Linked DNA regions of Callithrix jacchus. The protein of the gene in region 3 purifies or fractionates together with the protein of the main gene of each other region. This does not show direct contact. Links are inferred from orthologs where the notes say so. Each region holds a gene or a part of one and is shown on either strand. Other genes may lie near its edges.

Region 1 (3,644 bases), on a different chromosome or scaffold from region 3:
GCTATGCAGCTATTAACGGTAAGTGATAGCAGATTCTGGCTCCATAACCACACCCTTGGCCACTGTGTGACAGTAGCAGGATTGAGACTAACAAAAGCAACCCCGAAGGCTCCTCTCAGCTTGGCGTGGCATCACCCTAGGAGACCCCCCAATTGTGAGTGCCTCCAGGCACAGGCCACATCTCACTGATCTTGTTGCCCAGAGCCCAGCTGGGAAGGAGAAAGGGAAAGGGAACGGAGTGGTCAGAGGCACAAGCTAGGCAACTAGAAGGGTCTGCTCTGCCAGCCTTGCCACTCGCTGGCGCAGCAATTTCTGGCTTTGAGTCTCACTGAGCTCAGCTTCGAAGTCGGGATAACAATACCTGTCTTCTAGAGCCACTGGAACTTCCTAGAGGTGAGGCAGCTAAATGCTAGTTAAACTGTAAAGCTTGGCGGGGCACAGTGGCTCATGCCCATAATCCCAGCACTTTGGGAGGCCAAAGCGGGCAGATCCCTTGAGCTCAGGAGTTAGAGACCAGCCTGGGCAACATGGTGAGATGCCACTCCCCACCCCCCGTCTCTACTAAAAATACAAAAATTAGCTGGGCATGGTAGTGCACACCTGTAGTCCCAGCTACTCAGGAGGCTGAGGTGGAGGGATGGCTTCCACCCAGGAGGCAGAGGAGGTCACAGTGAACCAAGTCTGTATCACTGCACTCCAGCCTGGGCAATAGCATTAGACCTTGTCTCAAAAAGAATAAAAATATAAAATGAAAATGTGAAGCTTGTGCCTGCCATAATCATTACTTCCCCCAGTGGGAACCTGGGGTTTTATAAGGCTGTCAGAACTATTTGGACTTTTTTTCTTCCTTTTTTTTCATTTTGCTTTGGGGAGCTGGTGGAAGAGCAAGTTTGCCAACATTAGGGAAAGAATCTGGACCTTAATCTTCTACCAGGCCAGGAACGATAAGAGCAGGGGGCACATCTGATTCCTCTCTGGGACTTTGGCACTCAGCACCAGCCTAGGTACCAGCCTGGGTTGAGGAAATCCTTGCTGAATGATATTACACTGAATTGAATTAAACGAATTTCACCTGTCAAATCAGGCTAAGATTTCTTAGGATGAGCCACACTGCCATCTTGTGACAGAAGGCCAAACTGCTGTGTGTAGGGTACAGACATGTTTGGAATCTAAGTGCATCAAGCTGGCTGCAAGGAAGCTGTGTTTACAAAAGAGGACCTCTCCTTAGCAACTCTCAGCCAGCAGCAGCTCATTCTCATTAGTTCGGAAGTTTGAAAGCCATGAAGTCTGCATTTCTCCAAAAGCTCCTATAATTCAATTGATCGGTAATTCAAACAGCCCTCTTGGGGGCCACTCCCTGTATCAATGCAATCGGGCTTTGCTCTCTGTAAAGGTCCCTGTCACTCGGGTGGAAGAGCAAAGTGAGGTTTGTTAAAGAGAAACAGTGTCTCCCAGCTCACACCTGAACCTGGCAATCTGAAATGACCACCAAGATTCCTTCCAACCCAGTGCCCTGTGATTCTGGTCAGTCAAGCCAATCGGCTCCAGGCCCTCCAGGAAGGTGGGTGAATCAGGTGGAAGGGAGGAATTTACCTGGATGCAAGATCTCCCAACAGGCTGGGTGGGTCAGAGGAGGCAGGAGAAGTGGTCAGGAGAGAGTTCAGAGAGGAAGAAAACAAAAAGCACATTCATTCACCACTTCTGCTGCCCCCAGATAGAGAAGACCCACGGGACACACTCCACCCGCCCCCGCCCCACCCGGCACAGCCCTGACTGCTCATTCAGGGATATGTAGAAACGGCATTAGCGCTGCCCTGGGTGACTGGGATCTAGACCCAGCTCAAAAACCCCCTGAGCCCCAGGATCCTCATCTGTGAAGGCAGTGTGAAAATTAACCCTGGTGCTAACTACCCCAAGGGAGGCCGGGCTATCTAAAGGCAGAGGGAAGGACTCCGGGGTTGCCAAGAATGTTTGAGAGACTGTGGGTCCTGAAAGGTCACCAGACACAGCATTTGGGATTTGTAATCTTCAGGTGTCCTATTGTATAAGGTCAGGATTACACAGTGCCACCTGCCAAGAGGCATTCTTCTAATAACCAAGGAGACCCAATGTCTAATGGGATTCAGCTTTTCAATCTTTTCATAGAAATGTATGAACTAAGTTACGCACACACAGAAAAGGTAGTTGCTTTTTTTTTTCCTCCCCAAGCTTCCACCAAATTACGCTCCATGGCAGGAAAGTCTGGTCCACTGCTGTGACCCCAGCCCATGACCTGAGTTAGGGGAGGAGACTTCAGGCAATGTTTGGGGCACTGTTTGGGCCTCTGTTTCACCATCTGTAAAATGGGAAAGCTGACCAGCTAGCAAATCCCCAATCCAGCTGTGGGTTCTGAGCCCTTTTAGCTGCTTCCTCAGAAAATCAGCTTGGGCATGCATGGGGGTGGGTGCTATGTCCCAAGGTGTGATGAGGAATATGGCACTCTGGGGGACCCCACAACATAGACTCTGAGGACTCTGTCGCCTGGGCATGGCCAATCCTCAGCGCAAGCCCAGACCCAGGATAGAAGAGAAGGAGAGCGAGAAAGAGATGGGTGGGGGCTGAGGGAGGGGCTGAGGGCCAAGGATGGAAGAGAGGGAAAGTGGACAGGGGAGGAGAAAGAGGAACCACAAGGGAGGAAGCGAAGGGACAGGAGGTCCTGCTCCAAGGTGGATGCAGCTGAAAGGACAGCAAATAGGCAGAATGGGGCAGGGGACTGTGGGCATCTGGGATGCTCCCCTCTGCACTAGGGATCTTGGGCTGGGCTAGAGCACTCACCCGCCCCGAGACACCACCAGCTTCACTTTCACTTTGTAGGAAACAATGATCCCCAGGATCTCACGGTTGGCGCCTTCCCTCAACCTGAAAAGTGACACAGGGGAGCCGGTTCAGTGGCCTCGAGGGATGCGCGAGACCCTGCAGGGGTGGGTGTGCTGGGGGGCACTGGCTATCCATCCCCTATCTGGCTGGCCTCTCAGCCACCATGTCCAACAGAGCCCAGTGTGGAGCCCAGTGGAGGTGAGGAAGGCAAGCTATGCCATTAGGGAGCGGGGAGCCAGAGCCCCAGTTGCACGTCTGGCTGTGAGGTTCGCTCGCTGTGTGGCCACGTTGAGCCCCTCTCCCTGCCCAGGCCAGCATCCCCACGGTGAGGGGCAGGCTCCTCCTCCCCTCAGATGGACTCTGCTTCTCTCAGCAACCTATGAGCAGAAAGGGCCAGATGGGAAGTTCACAGAGAGCGAGGCTGCTGGGGTGGGGTGGGGACTGTCAGAGAAGGATTTCTCCGTGGAGGTGGTGCCTCAGCTGGGTCTTGAAGATGGGTAAAGTTCGAGCCAGGGTGGAGATGGGGCCAAAAGCTTCAGGTAAGTGGGAGGATGTGTAGTTGCTGGGAAGAGAGCTGAGTTCATGCTGGGAGTGGAGGCTGCTCTAGACACAGGCCAAAGCCCCGACGAAGGACCACACTTGCAAGAGGGAAAGATGGCAGCCCCACACACAGAGCACTGCTGGAGTGGAGCAGCCTCGAGGCATCTGTGATGACCAAGCAGCAGGAGTGACCAGAGGCCCTGGGGCCACTGACTTGGAGGGGCACCCCATGTTGGGTCTAACTCAGC
Region 2 (3,644 bases), on a different chromosome or scaffold from region 3:
AGAAGTAAATTTGCCTTTCTGAAAAAACTGCCTCAGTGCTATATTCACATGGCAACACCGAGCATTTACTTCCAACAAAGTCACCAACCCCTTATCAAGAGTAGCCTCATTCTTTTCCTAGAGAAAAAGCAGACCCTGCAGTAAGGAAAGGCTTCCTCTCATTGCCACTCTTCCCACATCTAACCAGATATGCTCCCAAAAACACCTTTCTGCTCAGAGTGCCATTTACAGCTTATCTTACAAAGCAATTCTCCATTCATTCAACATTTCTTTGCTAAAAATTTGTATTCATCTTTAAATAGAAACAATGTGCAGCAACGTCCTTCAAGCTTCAGAAACTAAGCAAAGAATATGGAAAGAGATCACATGGCTCTCAGTTCTATGGTGACAGGGGAATAAAAAAGGATTAAAAAGAAAAGTGGAGATTTCATGTCAGGTCCCATCTTCTGCTCTCTGCTCTCTCTTCTTCTGCCTTGGAACCTACCTGACATTCCTTGACCACCTCTTGTATGAGGAATGTTTGATGACCTTGGTGTTCCTGAGACAGTTCACAAACCCAACAAATGACTTTTCCATCCTCCTTACAGAAGATCTGGAGTTTTTTTCCATGGTGCTCACAGACATCTCTCTTCTGCCCCTCCTCTGGGCTCATCTTGACCTCCCTGACTCTCTGAACTATGTTGGCCAGATGCCGATTAGGTCGGAGGTTCCTAGGCTGGAATCTGGTCTGGCACACAGGACAGCTGCTTTGCCCTCCTGAGATGATCATTGACTTGTTCTTTGCAGTGATGCAGGCATGGCAGAAGCTGTGGCCACAATCTATGCTAAGAGGGTCTGTCAGGAGATCCAAGCAGATGGGGCAGGTCACCTCCTTCCCTATGTCTACCTTTACTGAAAATTCCATTGCACTGCTCCCTTGACTTCTTTCTGTCTTGAGCCTCGAAGTTCTTGGTCACAAACTCCTGCAGTGTTGGGAATGTTGAAGAGAACAGGATAAGAAAAGAGGGAATAGAAAGAATACTGATTTTACCAAGATTTAGAACAGGAGAAAACACTAATATTTAACAGAGAAAGGAGAAAAGAAAGACATGAAGAATAAACCAATGACAGAATTAAAAGGACTTTGTAGTAATATCAAACACCTTATTCTTAATTTTTGTCTTGGGACAAATTTTACCCCATCAAAGCAACTATAGTTATTTTCTCTTTTTCTACTGGAGCAAACTAAGGCTCTTCTACCAAAAGCCTCATGTAACCCGTCATTTGTCCTGCCCTTTGTCCCTCAACCCAAAACACATTTTCCACATTAAATGCAAAAAACACACTCCTGCCCCTGGGCTTGCACACATGCTTTTCTCTCTGAATGGCATGACTGTATCCCCAGCATGTGCATAATTCACTAGTATTAATACTAGTGAATACTACTGAGTTGTATTTACATAGCATCAAACACGCTCATTTTAAGTGTAATTTCATAATTTCTGGTAAATTTGTGGAACCATATTACTATTAATGTAACCCAATTTTAAACAATTTTTATCACCTGAAAAAAAACCCCACAACCTAATGCCATCACTCCTATTCTGATTCCAAGCTCCAGGCAACCACTAAAATCTTTCGGGTTTTTAACCAATTCATAAAAGCAGAATATATAGGGTCTTTGGTGTCTAACTTATTTTACTTACACTGTTCAGGTTTATCTACTCTGCCCTTTTCCCCCATGTCAAAAACGCCTTCTCAATTAAACTATCAAATCTATGACTGCCTCAACACTTTTGCCCTTCCTCTTCTCTCTGCATAAAATGACTCTCCCCCTGATGTCAGCAACAGCAAGACTCACTCTTACATTTAATTCAGTCTCCTCTTACATGTCCTCTTCTTAGAAGGACATGCTATAACTTACAGCAAAACCACCAGCAATATCACTCACTGTACATTTGGTTTCTCTTATTTTTAGATGTAATATATAACATTGTTATTTAAATGTCTACTTCTTCCTCCTAAAAAGTAATCCATGCCCGGGCGCGGTGGCTCAAGCCTGTAATCCCAGCACTTTGGGAGGCCAAGGCGGGTGGGTCACGAGGTCAAGAGATTGAGACCATTCTGGTCAACATAGTGAAACCCCGTCTCCACTAGAAATACAAAAAATTAGCTGGGCATGGTGGCGCGTGCCTGTAATCCCAGCTACTCAGGAGGCTGAGGCAGGAGAATTGCCTGAACCCAGGAGGCGGAGGTTGCGGTGAGCCGAGATCGCGTCATTGCACTCAAGCGTGGGTAACAAGAGTGAAACTCTGTCTCAAAAAAAAAAAAAAAAGTAATCCATGCATAGAACTGGTACTGTTTTTGTTCATTGATTTACCCTCTATACCTAGAAGAGTGAATCACATACAGATATAAAATGCTAAACGAATATATAAAGCTAGAAGTTTCTTATCCCTCCATAGATGATTAGACCCTTTTTTTTTTTTTTTTTTTGAGACGGAGTTTCGCTCTTGTTACCCACGCTTGAGTGCAATGGCTCGATCTCGGCTCACCGCAACCTCCACCTCCTGGGTTCAGGCAATTCTCTTGCCTCAGCTTCCTGAGTAGCTGGGATTACAGGCACGCGCCACCATGCCCAGCTAATTTTTATTTTGTATTTTTAGTAGAGACGGGGTTTCACCATGTTGACCAGGATGGTCTCGATATCTTGACCTCGTGATCCACCCGCCTCAGCCTCCCAAAATGCTTAGATTACAGGCGTGAGCCACCGCGATTAGACCTTTTAATCAGATTTTTATCATCAGAAAAAATGTAGAAGAGTGAATCACATATAGAAATAAAATGCTAAACGAATATATAAAGCTAGAACCTCCTTATGCCTCCATAGATGATCAGACCTTTTAATCAGATTTTTATCTTTTCTTTCCATTAATAATCAGTTTCCCAATAGCTGAGCTTACGGCCACAATTATGGTTTCCAGTGAAGAAGCATTTACATCCTAATACATCTACTCATAGCAAGTCCTTTCAAGCCCTCACACTCACTCCCCACAAACATACACATACACACACCACCACCACCACCACCATCACCACCACCACCACTGCCACCATAATAGGAAAATAATTTTATCATGAACAATTTTATAACCAGTTACAATTTAGAAATCATTGTGACTTATTTATTCTTCATACAAAACCCTTGAGAAATAAGAATACTCCCTTTCTTCAGGTGTGTCAATGGAAGCAAGGGACTTACAAAGATCACTCATTCTAATCTAATATGTAAAGAGTGAATGTATTGTCCCCAAGGTCCTCCTTCAGAGTTCTCTCCACTACTGCATAGATTTAAACAGATAATAAAGGTGAAGGCTAGAAGAGCTATATTGGTGCCCAATGCTATAGGTGTATAGAAATGGAGAGATCCAAATCTATGCAGTTCTGGGGTATGCTGTGGTTTTAAATGTTGAAATTTCACCTTGGCCTGGACATATGACAAGGATGATGATAAAAACCTAAAGGTGTATATCTGTAGGGAAGAGGAAAAGAAGCTAAAATAGTTATGGAATCACACACATGACATGCACCCAATGAATATACATTTCAAAGAAACATCTGTTGGTCATGAGAGAAAAGTCTCAATTCATAAAGGAGGCCAAATA
Region 3 (4,397 bases):
CACAGTAAAATGTTTTGGGCCAGGCAGTGTGCAGTATGGATATAAGTACACCCTTTAAATTTTTTTTTTTTTTTTTTTTTTTTAAGAAAAATAAAACTCTCTTTTTGTACAAATATACAAGTCCACGTTCTTTCAGACCCTTTGTGCTCATAATGTCAGACGCTGGCCTGCAAACACACAGTCATCATAGGGGAGCTGAAAACAAAGGGAAAAAAAGAACGTTAAACTTCTGGAGCTCTGCCAAGCTATTGGGATGGGGAAGCTGCTACTGGAAATAACACTTGGACTCCATTCTCCGTAGCCCAAATATAGTGAACTTTACAGGTTGAGGGAGTTTGCCTTTAATGCTTCTCTTTTAAAAAAAACAGTGCGCTATTAAAAAAAAAAAAAGGCACATTCTTGGGATACTGGTTATACACAGAAATTTGAGAGATTCATTACATGGACATTCCTCTAATGAAGAGCAGCTCTAGGGGACTGGGAGGGTGAAGGGAAAGCCCCCCCGCCATTAATTTCACAGAATACTGAAGCAGTTCAGACTCACCTCATCCTCCGTGAATTCTGACTCTGTGTCATAGCTCTCCTCATCCTCACTCTCTGGCAGCATCTGAAGGTTTTCTAGTGTCAGCTGGCCCAGCTGCTGCTGTATCCGGGTGCTTGGGCGACCCCAGGTAAGCTGGTAAGGGGAGTAGCCCTGGTAGGTAACTCTGTTGACATCAGCCCCACACTTCAGCAGGAGCGACACCAAGTCAGGATTCTGCAGGTCCACTGCGAGGTGAAGGGCAGTCCGGCCATTACAGGGCTCCTGAAACCAAAAGGAATTTGAGATGCCTATGGCTGCGTTTGGAATTTCTGCTTGCAACACAAGCACGAGGAGCTTGACTCAGAACATGGGAGGCAGGAAGCACTCACCTGAGCATTGACATCAGCACCCAAGGATACCAAAAGCTCCACGATGCCCAGGTAGCCATGGATAGAAGCTAAGTGCAGACACGTGTGGCCTGGAAGAACAAAAGGAAAAAAGCATAACCATTTGTTTCAACCCTCCTAAAGCAGCACCTTTCACCTATTCTTTTATGGGACAAACAGTCATGTCTTCTGAATTTTAAGAACCCCAGTCTGGGTTCTGAAGGGACTTTTAAAATGTATCCAATAGGCATATTGCACACATCTTTTCTCGATCTTTCACAGGTTGGGAGTTTAAGCTCTTTCCTGGACTCCCTAAGTTGGCCCACGTGCCCTTTCTGCATGTCACCTGCCCTCTGAGGGGGTGGGGCAGGGCAGGAAGGCAGACATACCATTGTAGTTGGTAGCTTTCAGGATGGAGTGGAGGTGTGGGGTGGTGCAGGCCTGAGTCAGGACTCCCACGCTGGCCAGGCAGCCCTGCTCACAGGCAAGGTGTAGGGGGGTATTTCCTCGAAAGTCTCGGAGCTCAGGATCACAGCCAGCTCCCAGAAGTGCCTCAGCAATTTCTGGCTGGTTGGTGATCACAGCCAAGTGTAGTGGAGTCTACCAGTGCAAGAGAAACCAGAGAGAGTAAGCCATGAATCAAACCCACACCCCGAGTTCCCCGGATCCCCAATGTCTCCTGGTTGGGTGCTGCTCCTCCCAGGTGGGAGGGTGGGGAGGGCTGGCAAATAGCAGAGGCTCCAGGTGGGTCATAAAGACCTCACCAAATCCATAGAATTTCCTTCCCTCTCTAGGATGGGGGCTGATGCGAAGTAAACGGCAGGGGTGAATAATGCCCAGTGGCCCTTAATTCAGAAAGGATCTGGGGTGACTCTGCTACATCAGCTCTGTCCCAGGGTCAAAGAAAGCCCGGGCCAGGCACGTGCGCACCTGCTGCAGGTTGTTCTGGAAGTTGAGGAAGGCCACGTCTCCCTTCACCTGGCGGATTACTTCCATGGTAAGTGCCTTTTCTTCATGGATGATGGCCAAGTGCAGGAACCTGTGGGGAAGAGGGAAAAACCCCCAGGGGTGGTGAGTGCACCGCGTGGGGCCCAGGGAGGCGCGGGCTGCGGGGGATTGCGCAAGGCCGGGGTTTCTGGAGGCCGAGGCCGCGGTGTTTTCCGCGAGGTTATTATGAGCTGAGTGTTCCTGGCAGGCGCCCAGGGACTTTCCGCCCCCCTCCTTCAGGCCTCGGCGGGCGCCGGCCAGACCGCCCCGCCCTCCCGCCGGCTCGGAACGCCCTGTACTTCCCCTCCCGGCTGCAAGGCGCCCGCCAGCGGCCAGAAACTCCCGCCCCGCCTTATGCAACCGGGGACTTCGCGTCCCCACCGCCGCCCCGCCCCCGGCCTAGAGGACGGATGGGGGGGAGGGGGCGTGTGGCGACGCTGCGGTCCACCAGAGCCGAGCCTCTGCCCCTCCTAGTCCAGCCGGAGTCCCGCGCGGCCCTGCGGCCCTGCAGCGTTCGGCGCCGTGCAGGAGCCCCGGGGCGCCGCGGTGCTGGCCCGGCTGCAGCGCTGGTCCCCGGGCTCGGGCTGCAGGCCCAGCACCCCCCAAGCCCCGCCTGCGCGCGTCCGGTCCTCCCAACGACCCCTGGCCCGCGCCACTTACGAGTCCCCGTCCTCGGTGAGCTGCTGCTTCCAGGGCTCGGCGCCGTGCTGCGCCTCCTGCGGCTCTAGGCGGATCTCCCGCAGCTCCTTGACCATCTGCTCGTACTCCTCGTCCTTCATAGAGTCCAGGCCGCTGTCGTGGCGGTCGTCCAGCAGCCGCTCCTTCTTCAGCCCATCGCGGAGGCCCTCCATGGCCCACTCGGCTGCCTGGAACATTGCTCGGGCGAGCTGTGGGTGCTGCTGCGGGTGCGCTGGGCCGCGGGCTGCGCGCTGCTTCCTCGCTGGAGCGCTGGCGAACGGTACGGCGGCGCGGGCTGCTGTGGGCTCTGCAGCGCCGCCCCAACGCCCTTATAAACGCTGGCTGGGGATTTCTCTGGGGCGGGGTCAGGCGCGGGGAATTTCCAAGCCAGTCAGACCAGAAAAGAGAACTGGCTTCGTCCTCTGCTAGGGGGAAAAAGAAGCCTAAACCCTGAGCTGGGGTTCATCGGAGAAACTCCCTGCGATGAGGCACTGGGGTCACGGACAGGGAACTTTTTGATGAGCGCCGAGTGGCTGGAAAGTCCTTCCTACCAGGCCCCCTGCCCCCGGTACTTCCCTGCAGCCTGCACCCTGTAATCCTGTCCCTCTGCAAGTTAACCATTTTTCCCTGGGGTTTCCCACGATCGCTTTGAATTGGGGTCGTCGGCTGCTGAGATCCCAAGGACGCCGACCTGATGGGCAGTCCTTCTTTGGGGTTTGCCAACCTGCCGGTCTTTTCCGTTTTTTGATCTTTTGAAAACGCAAGAGTGGAAATGATGGCTGGGTGTAGGGATTTGCTTTCCGCAGACTTCTCTCTAAGGGGAAGGACGCACTGTGATTAGAAGGCTGCAGGCCGCCGACGTGTTTCTACCAATACCAGGCTCTTTGCAGCACCGGGACGCTTAGCTTCTCCACCCCCACCCCCACCCCCACCCCCACCCCCACCCCCACCCCCACCCCCACCCCCACCCCCACCCCCGCACACCCCGCCAGATAGAAGTTGTGAAAGCTTTGGAGTGAAAACCTAAATCCTTGGAGAACTCTCAAATAAGTTCCTATGGAAGAAGAGCTCTGTTGACTGGGGGAGGGGTGAACTCTCCCTGTACGGGGGAAACTGCTAAATAGGACCAGGATTTTCTTCCCCCTAAGTAAAGCTAGGTGCTAATCTTTGTAGTAGTGGTTGTGGATACTTTGCAATAACAAAATAACTATTGTGTTCCTAAGTAGCGATTTTGTTCATGCTCTCTGACCTACATTGTGCTGCTGCAGAGAATGGATCCTGAGCCTACTTCTGGGTGCAAACTGAGCAATTCTCCAGGAACACTTGGAGAAGGAGACTGAAGAATGAGTTTAGTTAGTACCTTAAACCGCGCTTGGACCGTAAGGACCACTAAGAAACTAGTTGCCAGGCATCCTGCGGGAGGCTGAAGGCAGTCTGGTCCTGCCCGCCCCTCCTTGCTCCATTGTCCGGGGGGACGGTAGCAGTTGGACTCATTCATGCCACCCAGGTAGAAAGGGGTTTGGGCTCACTGTGCTCTGGTTTTACCTGCAGAAATAGAATTTTTGCTCTCCACCCCATCTCCACCTCCAAGTCTACAAGTCATGGACTGAATTCTACTTGATAGAGTTGGTATAGGCAAAAGAAAGCAAACTTCAATCAGAGCTCTTCAGGATTAGTCCCGGGAGGCCTCTATAGTTCTGCAGAGATTTCTGGTGATTATTGCAGTCATCTTTACCTTGACTGGCCATGTACTAACCAATCCTTCCCCTCTCTTCAAATCTCCACCTTTCCCCCAATATTAGAATATAAGAAATCTGACTCAA

What was found. The genes of interacting proteins can lie anywhere in the genome.
Region 1: the proteins of NFKBIA (region 3) and ARRB1 purify together in Homo sapiens (affinity purification with western blotting; 3 studies listed by BioGRID and IntAct, with this or other methods). This does not show direct contact. The link is inferred for Callithrix jacchus from reciprocal best matches to the Homo sapiens genes NFKBIA and ARRB1.
Region 2: the proteins of NFKBIA (region 3) and TRIM22 purify together in Homo sapiens (affinity purification with western blotting; 3 studies listed by BioGRID). This does not show direct contact. The link is inferred for Callithrix jacchus from reciprocal best matches to the Homo sapiens genes NFKBIA and TRIM22.

The regions. Positions count from the first base shown.
Region 1 is NC_133511.1:65,682,398-65,686,041, reverse strand, and holds part of ARRB1 (beta-arrestin-1), read right to left. Parts: intron 2,899-3,644; coding exon 2,815-2,898; intron 1,618-2,814; coding exon 1,594-1,617; intron 1-1,593. UniProt on the Homo sapiens protein: Functions in regulating agonist-mediated G-protein coupled receptor (GPCR) signaling by mediating both receptor desensitization and resensitization processes.
Region 2 is NC_133511.1:71,285,844-71,289,487, reverse strand, and holds part of TRIM22 (E3 ubiquitin-protein ligase TRIM22), read right to left. Parts: intron 963-3,644; 5' UTR 905-962; coding exon 485-904; intron 1-484. UniProt on the Homo sapiens protein: Interferon-induced E3 ubiquitin ligase that plays important roles in innate and adaptive immunity.
Region 3 is NC_133509.1:69,916,288-69,920,684, forward strand, and holds the start of NFKBIA (NF-kappa-B inhibitor alpha), read right to left. Parts: upstream 2,881-4,397; 5' UTR 2,772-2,880; coding exon 2,557-2,771; intron 1,949-2,556; coding exon 1,840-1,948; intron 1,510-1,839; coding exon 1,299-1,509; intron 1,002-1,298; coding exon 913-1,001; intron 806-912; coding exon 545-805; intron 196-544; coding exon 148-195; 3' UTR 1-147. UniProt on the Homo sapiens protein: Inhibits the activity of dimeric NF-kappa-B/REL complexes by trapping REL (RELA/p65 and NFKB1/p50) dimers in the cytoplasm by masking their nuclear localization signals.